Linked DNA regions of Tribolium castaneum. The protein of the gene in region 1 purifies or fractionates together with the protein of each later gene. This does not show direct contact. Links are inferred from orthologs where the notes say so. Each region holds a gene or a part of one and is shown on either strand. Other genes may lie near its edges. The genes, in order: Sh and UPAR/Ly6 domain-containing protein qvr.

Region 1 (3,828 bases):
GTGCGGATTTTCGGGTCACAAGAGTGGTTTAAGCTTAAATTTTTATTGAATAAAAAAATACATTCAGTATTTTTTTTTTCATTTTTTTGATATTTTTGGCGAAGTAGTTGATATTAAGAAATCAGTTCTACTCTTTAACATTTCGAATGGACTTTTTCCCAGAACTGTTGTTGGCAACAAAGGCCACGCGCCCATGTTTCTGTTAGGATTTTTTCAAACTGAGATCATTTATCGCCGCCAAAATCTATTGGTGGACTTTATTATCCGCCAAATGCTCGCCATCATAAACATAGCCAAGTTCTTAATTTAGGGTCGGGCTAACGCCCATGAAATGTCGAATTATCCGCTCGCAATAAATAGTCAAAAAGATTGGCGCTCATTTGGATGTGGTTGCTGGTAGTGCTGCACGGATCTAAATGAAAAATTTACCCGGAACCGAATAACGCTATAGATTCTACACTAAACAAATAATCTGTTTCTTCTGTGTATTGAATGAATTTGAAATCTGCTGATTGTTCAGAATCGATAGCCACACATAAGAAAAACTTTTTTCAAAAAAGTGACGCATGGCCGAGCGGCAGGCACCTCAAAAAACAGACGCTTATTTAATAAGAAGTTTGTCCGGTTTCGATTGTACACGTTTACTGACTGTTTTTTATGTAAAATTTTTTGCTAAATTCGAATATGTAAGACATATTTTGATGTTTACTCGTCATATTTTTCTTCAGGTTAAAGCTAGAGACCTTTTTTTTGCAATAGATTCTCCAGTAAATATAAATTCTAAGTACACAAGCTACAGTTAATTTTTACAAAAGAAAACTAAAAGAATTACAGTTTTTGTGTAACTTATTACATTGTGTAGTAAAATTCTCAAGATGCGAGATGAAATGGTGCTAATAGTTTAGATAAGTTTTTGAGACACGAACGAAGTCGGGGGGCTTTTTCATTAAAAAGTGATTTACTTGTCACATGTAGAATTCAACTTGTATTCCAAGACAATTATCGCATAATCGTAAAATTATTTTTTTTAAATATTAATAATACATAATCGTTTTTCACATGTTCACTAAAGTGATCATACCTGAAGGATAGAAGGAATGGGAGAGTGTTCTTTCTTGGGACATTTTTTCATAAAAAAAATTTTTCACATCTTCCGAAATTAATTAATCTATTAACTATGACGAGCATGTTCAGTGTTACTTAATTACTTATAACAGAAAATAACAAAAAAAATTCTTGTACGTTGGGACAACATTAAATGCAAAAAAATGGGACCACGAATAAATAAATAAGAATTCACAAAATATGGAAACATATTTATTAAAACCTACATAAATGACATAAACTGTACTAGGATACAAAATTGGCGCATTCGGCGTTCAAAGTTTAAAGTGTTGGCTTTTTGTAGATGATCTGTCACAAAATCACTTAAAAATTCATCTTCACCACATACTCGTGTTTCATTATTTAGCAGACAAATGTAGGTGAATGCTGTGAACATTGAGCGATTTTTGTTAATAACTTTTTCTTCATTACATAATTTATTTTTTTGATATTTTCTATAAAATAATAAGAAATTAATGTATAACTTACATATTTCAATTTCCACAAAAACACACACAGACATAAAAATAAAATCGTTGTTGTTAAGTCGCAAAATATTAACAACAGCCAGGGTTTCTATGTTTTAAATGCTTAAATATGCTTGCAGAAACCGGGTCTTAAACCTTGTTTAAAACATGTTGTTTTGTTTTCAAAATATTGTTACAAATTCCAACCTCTTATCACAATTCATATACTTTTGCATTTGACAAAAAATTAAAAAACTTGTTCTCAAATAAGGACAAATCAGAAGAAGAACACGATGTATTTTTGTTTATATAAACGTTTATTATTTATTAACATATATCAATAAAAAACAAACAAAATGTTAATACATATTTCTTACTATTAAATGGAAATTAATATAATTATTGCTGGCTGAATTTAATGCCTTAAAAACACTAACAGTTTTGATACTTTCTTAACTCCTAGTCTATTTCTCTGACAAAAATAAACCATTTTTATAGTTGAACACCTTTTTATTAAAACAAAAACTAGGTTTAAAACACTGCTTTAAACAAATAAAATGGTATAAAATTAAAAATAATTTTTTGATTAATTTAAAAAAAACATGTTTTCTAACAACTCTGACAACAGCAGGATTACTTCGTCGAAATGAAAAAGGACACTACCTACCTTTGGAATTATGTTGGACAATTTATGCTTTATGATTATAGATTTGAAAAAATCGAAAATCTGTTACCTGTTTCCAGGCATTTTTGAGTGATTTAGCCCATTCTTGAGTAGTCACCTATTTCCAAAAAAATATTTATTTATGACAGAGAAACTCAAAAGTTAGGAACAGAACTAAAGTGTGTAATTTTAACCAATTTCAAGCGATTTAATTAGTAAATAAACTGTTTTTCTTTTGACTTGACAATTATTCACCGTTTTTGGCCGTTCGGCTGTTTGTAACAGAAAAAATAAACTGCAAATTAAGAGTAGTCGGACGACGTGGCGCTTGACCGTGAGAGCACTGGAGCTAGTGATTACTGATTACAAAGGGAAGATGTGACGATAAAAACACCAAAATTTGCTATATTTTTAAGATTTTAATTCAGCTAAAAATTTTACATCAGAAGATATCAGTTTTTAAAAAACGTGTGTCGTACGGTCATGTTGGTTTTGGGCAGCTTGTTCCCGGCCTAGCATGAATTTGAAATAGTTGCGTTTCCGTGCAGCACTAGTTGGTGGCACCGCTGTGCGTGATGTGGTGGTGATGGTGGTGTCCATCGGCAACTGACTCGGACCTCCCGGCCTCCTCTGGCCTCCTCCTTCTGTCTGTTGCAGGCGTGGTCCTTTTCTCGAGCATCGTCTACTTCGCGGAGGCGGGCGCCGAGCAGTCGTTCTTCAAGTCGATCCCGGACGCGTTCTGGTGGGCCGTGGTGACCATGACCACCGTGGGCTACGGCGACATGAGGTACAGTAGCGCACAGAGCCCGACTCACCCCTCCTCCTCCTTGCAGGTGTCGTGCTCTTCTCGAGCGCCGTCTACTTCGCTGAAGCGGGCTCCGAGAATTCCTTCTTCAAGTCCATCCCAGACGCGTTCTGGTGGGCAGTGGTCACCATGACGACTGTGGGCTACGGCGACATGACGTATGATGTACACACCTAATTCAGATTTAGTTGCCTCCACCGTAGCTAAACACACAAAGAGATTCGAGACCACGAGAAAATTCTTTGCTCCGAGGACGCGTCCAACGCCGCCCGGGCCCCCATCAAACCCTTGATGTCGTGACGCTCGATGTGTGCTCGATGTTGCTTGTCTCATAGGCCACTCAATCGCACCAAGTGCACAAACCCAATTCACTAAGAAACCACCAATGAAACCAGATGCGAATTCCAAAAGGCGTTCGCGAAAAAAAAATACAAAAATATTTAAATTAAAAAAAAGAGTTTAATTTAACGCTACATATTTGTCTGGTACGGAATAGCTTACATATCCTGCTGAACGCGCCAATTATTTTTTTATTATTTTATTAAAAATATTAAAAGGCCATAAGACATATACCATAAAATAAATTCAGGATATTTAGAAAATAGGTACCAAAATAGACTCTTTCGATTTTAAACTTCAAGAAACACGCATAATTTCTATTGAAAAGTTATCAGTCTTTTTTATTTTACTTTATTTTTATTTTTTTGCAATGGTTGATAAAATTCGTCGCGACGTTTCGACACTTTACTGTATCATTTTCAGGCGAAGAAGTTCTATTTTTTTACACT
Region 2 (4,419 bases), on another chromosome or scaffold:
TATTTTAGTTCAAAAATGTTTTTAAAACGGTAAAACTGATACGATGTTTGACTAAATTTAATGATTTTTGCCTTATTCTTGACGTAATTGTGTTTCTGATCACAATTACGTCAAAAATAAGTCGAAAATCACTAAATTCACAAACTAAATCAAGCAAAACTAGCTAAACTATTTTCTATTCTGACCTAATTTTTTTATTTTTCTTCAATTTACGCCCAATTTTTCAAAACAATTAATTTTTTATTTCAAAAACATGTGTTTAAATGTTTGAAAAAGGCAAAAATAACATTGTTTTTGACTTAATTTCATGATTTTTCGAATAGTTTTTACGAAATTTTGTATAATTTTAATGAAAAATAAAGGTAAAACACCTGAAATAATGTGCTCATAGGTACCAACATAATAATTATTGTCCAGTAATTTCGCGATTTTTGGGTTTGTTTTAGTGACATTTTTTATAAAAACCCTGAGATTTTAGTTCAAAAAGGTGTATAAAGTCTAAAAAATGGTGAAACTGATGGAATTTTTGCGGGTTTCGACGTAATTTTGATCAAAAAACGAACTAATCAAGCAAAACAAGCTAAAATGTTTTAAAAACAATTTAGTTTTTACTTCAAAAACGTGCTTGAAGGTTTGAAAATGCAAAAGTAACTAAATAGCACATCATATAAGCCTAATTTAGAAAATTTTCCTTGTTTTAACAAAATTTTTAGCTTTGGAGGTTCTAAAAACACTTGAAATTAACGTAATTTTGTGTTTTTTTTGTTTTTTTTTTTTTTTGGTTATAAAAACTGTCAACGAGATCTGACATGTTAAAATTTTTTGCAAAAAATTAACATAGGCAATTTCTATAGTGGAAAATTTTATTCAATAAAAAATTCATAACTCAAAAACTAACTGGAAATTATTATTAAATTGTTTTTTTTTGGTTTGTTTTAGCGAAATTCTTCAAAAAAGCCTAATATTTTAGTTCAAAAATGTTTTAAAAACGGTAAAACTGATACGATGTTTGACTAAATTTAATGATTTTTGCCTTATTCTTGACGTAATTGTGTTTCTGATCACAATTACGTCAAAAATAAGTCGAAAATCACTAAATTCACAAACTAAATCAAGCGAAACTAGCTAAACTATTTTCTATTCTGACCTAATTTGTTTATTTTTCTTCAATTTACGCCCGATTTTTCAAAACAATTAATTTTTTATTTCAAAAACATGTGTTTAAATGTTTGAAAAAGGCAAAAATAACATTGTTTTTGACTTAATTTCATGATTTTTCGAATAGTTTTTACGAAATTTTGTTCTTGAAAATGCAAAAATAATGTAATTCGCAACGTAATTTTCTGTTTTTTTTGTTAGTTTTTCAAAATTTTTCAAAAATACAGTTCAGAAAGGTGAGTAAAGGCTTAAATAAGGTATTAATTTTTGTCAAAATTTCTTAATTTTTGGGTTATTTTTGAAGTAATTTCATTTATAAATCGGACCAAATTAGGTACAACATGGTAAAATGCTATTTATTCTGACCTAATTTGTCGTTTTTTAGCCACTTTAAGTATTTTTAAGTATACAAAAAAACAGTGCTTAAACGAAAACGTGCTTAAATTAATATTCGAAAAAAGCAAAAATGTTACACCAATTTGGGTCTAATTTATTGGCGATTTTTTACATAGTTCACTTTTTTAAGCAATTATTTTACAAAACTAACACGCTTGTAACTTCAAAAATCTTGTAATAGTCGACGAAATTACAATTTTTGTGTGTGAAAACCATTTTTTCAAACCAAACATCAAAAAAAAATGTTAAAATACAAACTTACTTTGACATTCCGCATTAATAACTCTTGTTATTGCTAGCAATACTATCACTGAAAACATAAACAATATTAAGTGGTTAGTAATTTAAAAATTGGCAAAAATCTACAGGAATAGGGTTATTGTTGTAAAGTTTCAAAATTTATTATTGTTTTTTTTCCTTGTAAAATTTCAGGACAAGTTTTCAGATCAACTGAAACCTGTTTCCAACACATCAGAAAATCAAATGCAACATCCGGCTTCGAGCAGATATTTTTAATTTCGCGTTTTTTACATAAAAATTTCCGAGAGATTAATCTTCCTATATTAATAATATTTGGCACGTTATAAACCTCAATACGCGTCTATTTTTACAAATTAATAAATGAAACTTTCTCTAAATATTTTTTATAAAAATAAACACCAAACATAATTAACCCGTCCCTAGCGCATCACTAATTGGATTTGTGAAATCTTTATCTCAAAAACCCTGACAACACCAACACCAAATTAATAGCGTTATTGCAACCACCTTCCAAAAGTTTACTCACGAGCACAGCTCCACTGGCAACTTGCAAAATTAACAAAAAAAACTGCAATAAACTACCCTGATTAGTCCTATTCCTGTCACTTAAGCGATCAAAACCAAGCAACATTACCTATAATTGCCAAGACGTACTCGATTCTAGTCTTCCTGAAAGACATTTTCGCTAATTCAAAGTCCTAAAAGCACCACACTCTCATCACTATCGTATTCGAATTTCGATAACTCGGTTATTTTGATTTCGTTCCCGGTTCGTGTCCATTTCTCTGCCGTGCTCCTCAAATTATATTGATCTACCTCGCATATCTATCTCTCTTTAACTCCCAAGCTTTATTTATGCGTTTTTCCACCGACTCTATTCTTTACCACTTAAAAATAAACCGCATTTCGTGTCCTCGAAGCGATGCCGAGTGGATTTGTGTGAAAACAGGACTTTTCAAGTGAAAAAATCGCGAAAACCGAGTTTCGAATAAAAGCCTGCGCAGGACGACTCAGGTACGCATGTCTGAAGCGAAATTCCCCCAGAATTGCAACAATTGATCAAACGATTTTTTACCTTTTGGGTATTTTTAGATTATTTTGATGCCAAGTGCTGTTTCACGTCGGAAATGTGATGAATAAAACAGAATTTTACTATCAAAATTTATTTAAAATACAAAACCCTCAATATGTTACCACAAAGAAAATAAAGGAATAAAAAAAAAGGAAATAGCAAAGATAAGGCACTTTTTGCAAGATAATGACAATTAAAATTACAGTAACACTCCTCAAATCACAACAATTTTGAAGCCACAAAAGAGGCAATTCAACCGAACTTCTCCCTTTCTTCTGAAATTGAGCCATATCTGAAATTTAATAAATTTCAATCAATTTTATTTTTACTGCAATTAATGTTTGTATCAATAATTTTAATTATCTAAAACTGATTGTTTCATTTGTCTCATTTTTTTTCGGTTTTTTATTCTCAAATTATTGGGAATATCGCCATTAAGATACATTTGCCTAAACAAGAGAAACTTTCTCGAGTTGGAAGAATCACAATAGATAAGGTAAGGGCAAGAAGTTGAACACTCTAACATACTAAGGAAACAACCTTTGGGGACGTCTCGTTTCGTCGCTCCATCATCAGGGTTTTTTTGCACTTTTTCTGCATTTTGTGTCGTTAATTTTTTCTTCTTCTTTCTTAGTCGTTTTTTCTGACTTTTGGTCAATAGTTGTGAATCAGTACTGCCACCTTCAGTCGAATTAACAGTCTCAGTAGTCCCAAATTCACTTTGATTGGTCACACCATCATTAGCAAATTTTTTCCTCAATCTTCTCAATTGGTTTTTCGATATTTTCGTTACTCCAACTTTAATTATCTTGTCTCTGCTTGGGTCTATGTCGATGGGTTGTGGCTTGTGATAATAATAGAAATCGTCGAGTTCGGTTTTTCCCCCATCATCGTCATCACTGTCCCCCTCAGACGTGTAACCATGAAGTCGCAAAATGTCGATGTTTATTTCGTCCTATAATTGCCGAAAATGGGAACAGAAATGGTAAAATTATCAAACCAACCTCGCCCATGTTTATGGGAAGCCCCGGTTTATAACCTAAAACACAACCTTGACAGTTTGGTGGTTATCAAATGATTTACTAACTGAATGAACACGCCGAGCAATTTCAATAACCAACTTTTTGATAAAACTATGATAACACGTGTGACCTTGAGGTTTCAAACGCCGTTTACGATGTTTCATTTTTTTGTTGTTTGGATTCGGGGGAAAAAATTAATAAGACGTATTGTACTGTCGTTTTATGTCGTTTATTCCTTATTTAATTTAATTTTTTAGTTGCCTTAATTGTAATATTTTATTGGCAACACTGAGACTTAATTATTTGGAGCCAGTTTCAAATTTTGGGTAATAATAAAACAAATTTTTGGTACTACTATCTTTATTAATGAGTCAAACATACAGTATTTTTTCTAAAGCCGTTTAAGGAAATTGTAAAAATAAGGCACTTTTTTTAAAACAACCAAAATAATTAAAACTGTGGCAAAAGTTCGGAATTCGTAGGAGTTTCGAAGCCACAATAAAAACAAAT

Evidence for each region.
Region 2: the proteins of Sh (region 1) and UPAR/Ly6 domain-containing protein qvr purify together in Drosophila melanogaster (affinity purification with western blotting, with the first as the bait; 3 studies listed by BioGRID). This does not show direct contact. The link is inferred for Tribolium castaneum from reciprocal best matches to the Drosophila melanogaster genes Sh and qvr.

Annotation. Positions count from the first base shown.
Region 1 is NC_087394.1:28,473,189-28,477,016, reverse strand, and holds part of Sh (potassium voltage-gated channel protein Shaker), read left to right. Parts: intron 1-2,892; coding exon 2,893-3,022; intron 3,023-3,068; coding exon of another isoform or gene 3,069-3,205; intron 3,206-3,828.
Region 2 is NC_087396.1:21,875,863-21,880,281, reverse strand, and holds the start of UPAR/Ly6 domain-containing protein qvr, read right to left. Parts: upstream 2,834-4,419; 5' UTR 2,496-2,833; coding exon 2,450-2,495; intron 2,384-2,449; coding exon of another isoform or gene 2,342-2,383; intron 1,865-2,341; coding exon 1,817-1,864; intron 1-1,816. Other genes in the region: uncharacterized protein LOC103313876, read right to left, coding at 2,998-3,179, 3,428-3,842, 3,892-3,900.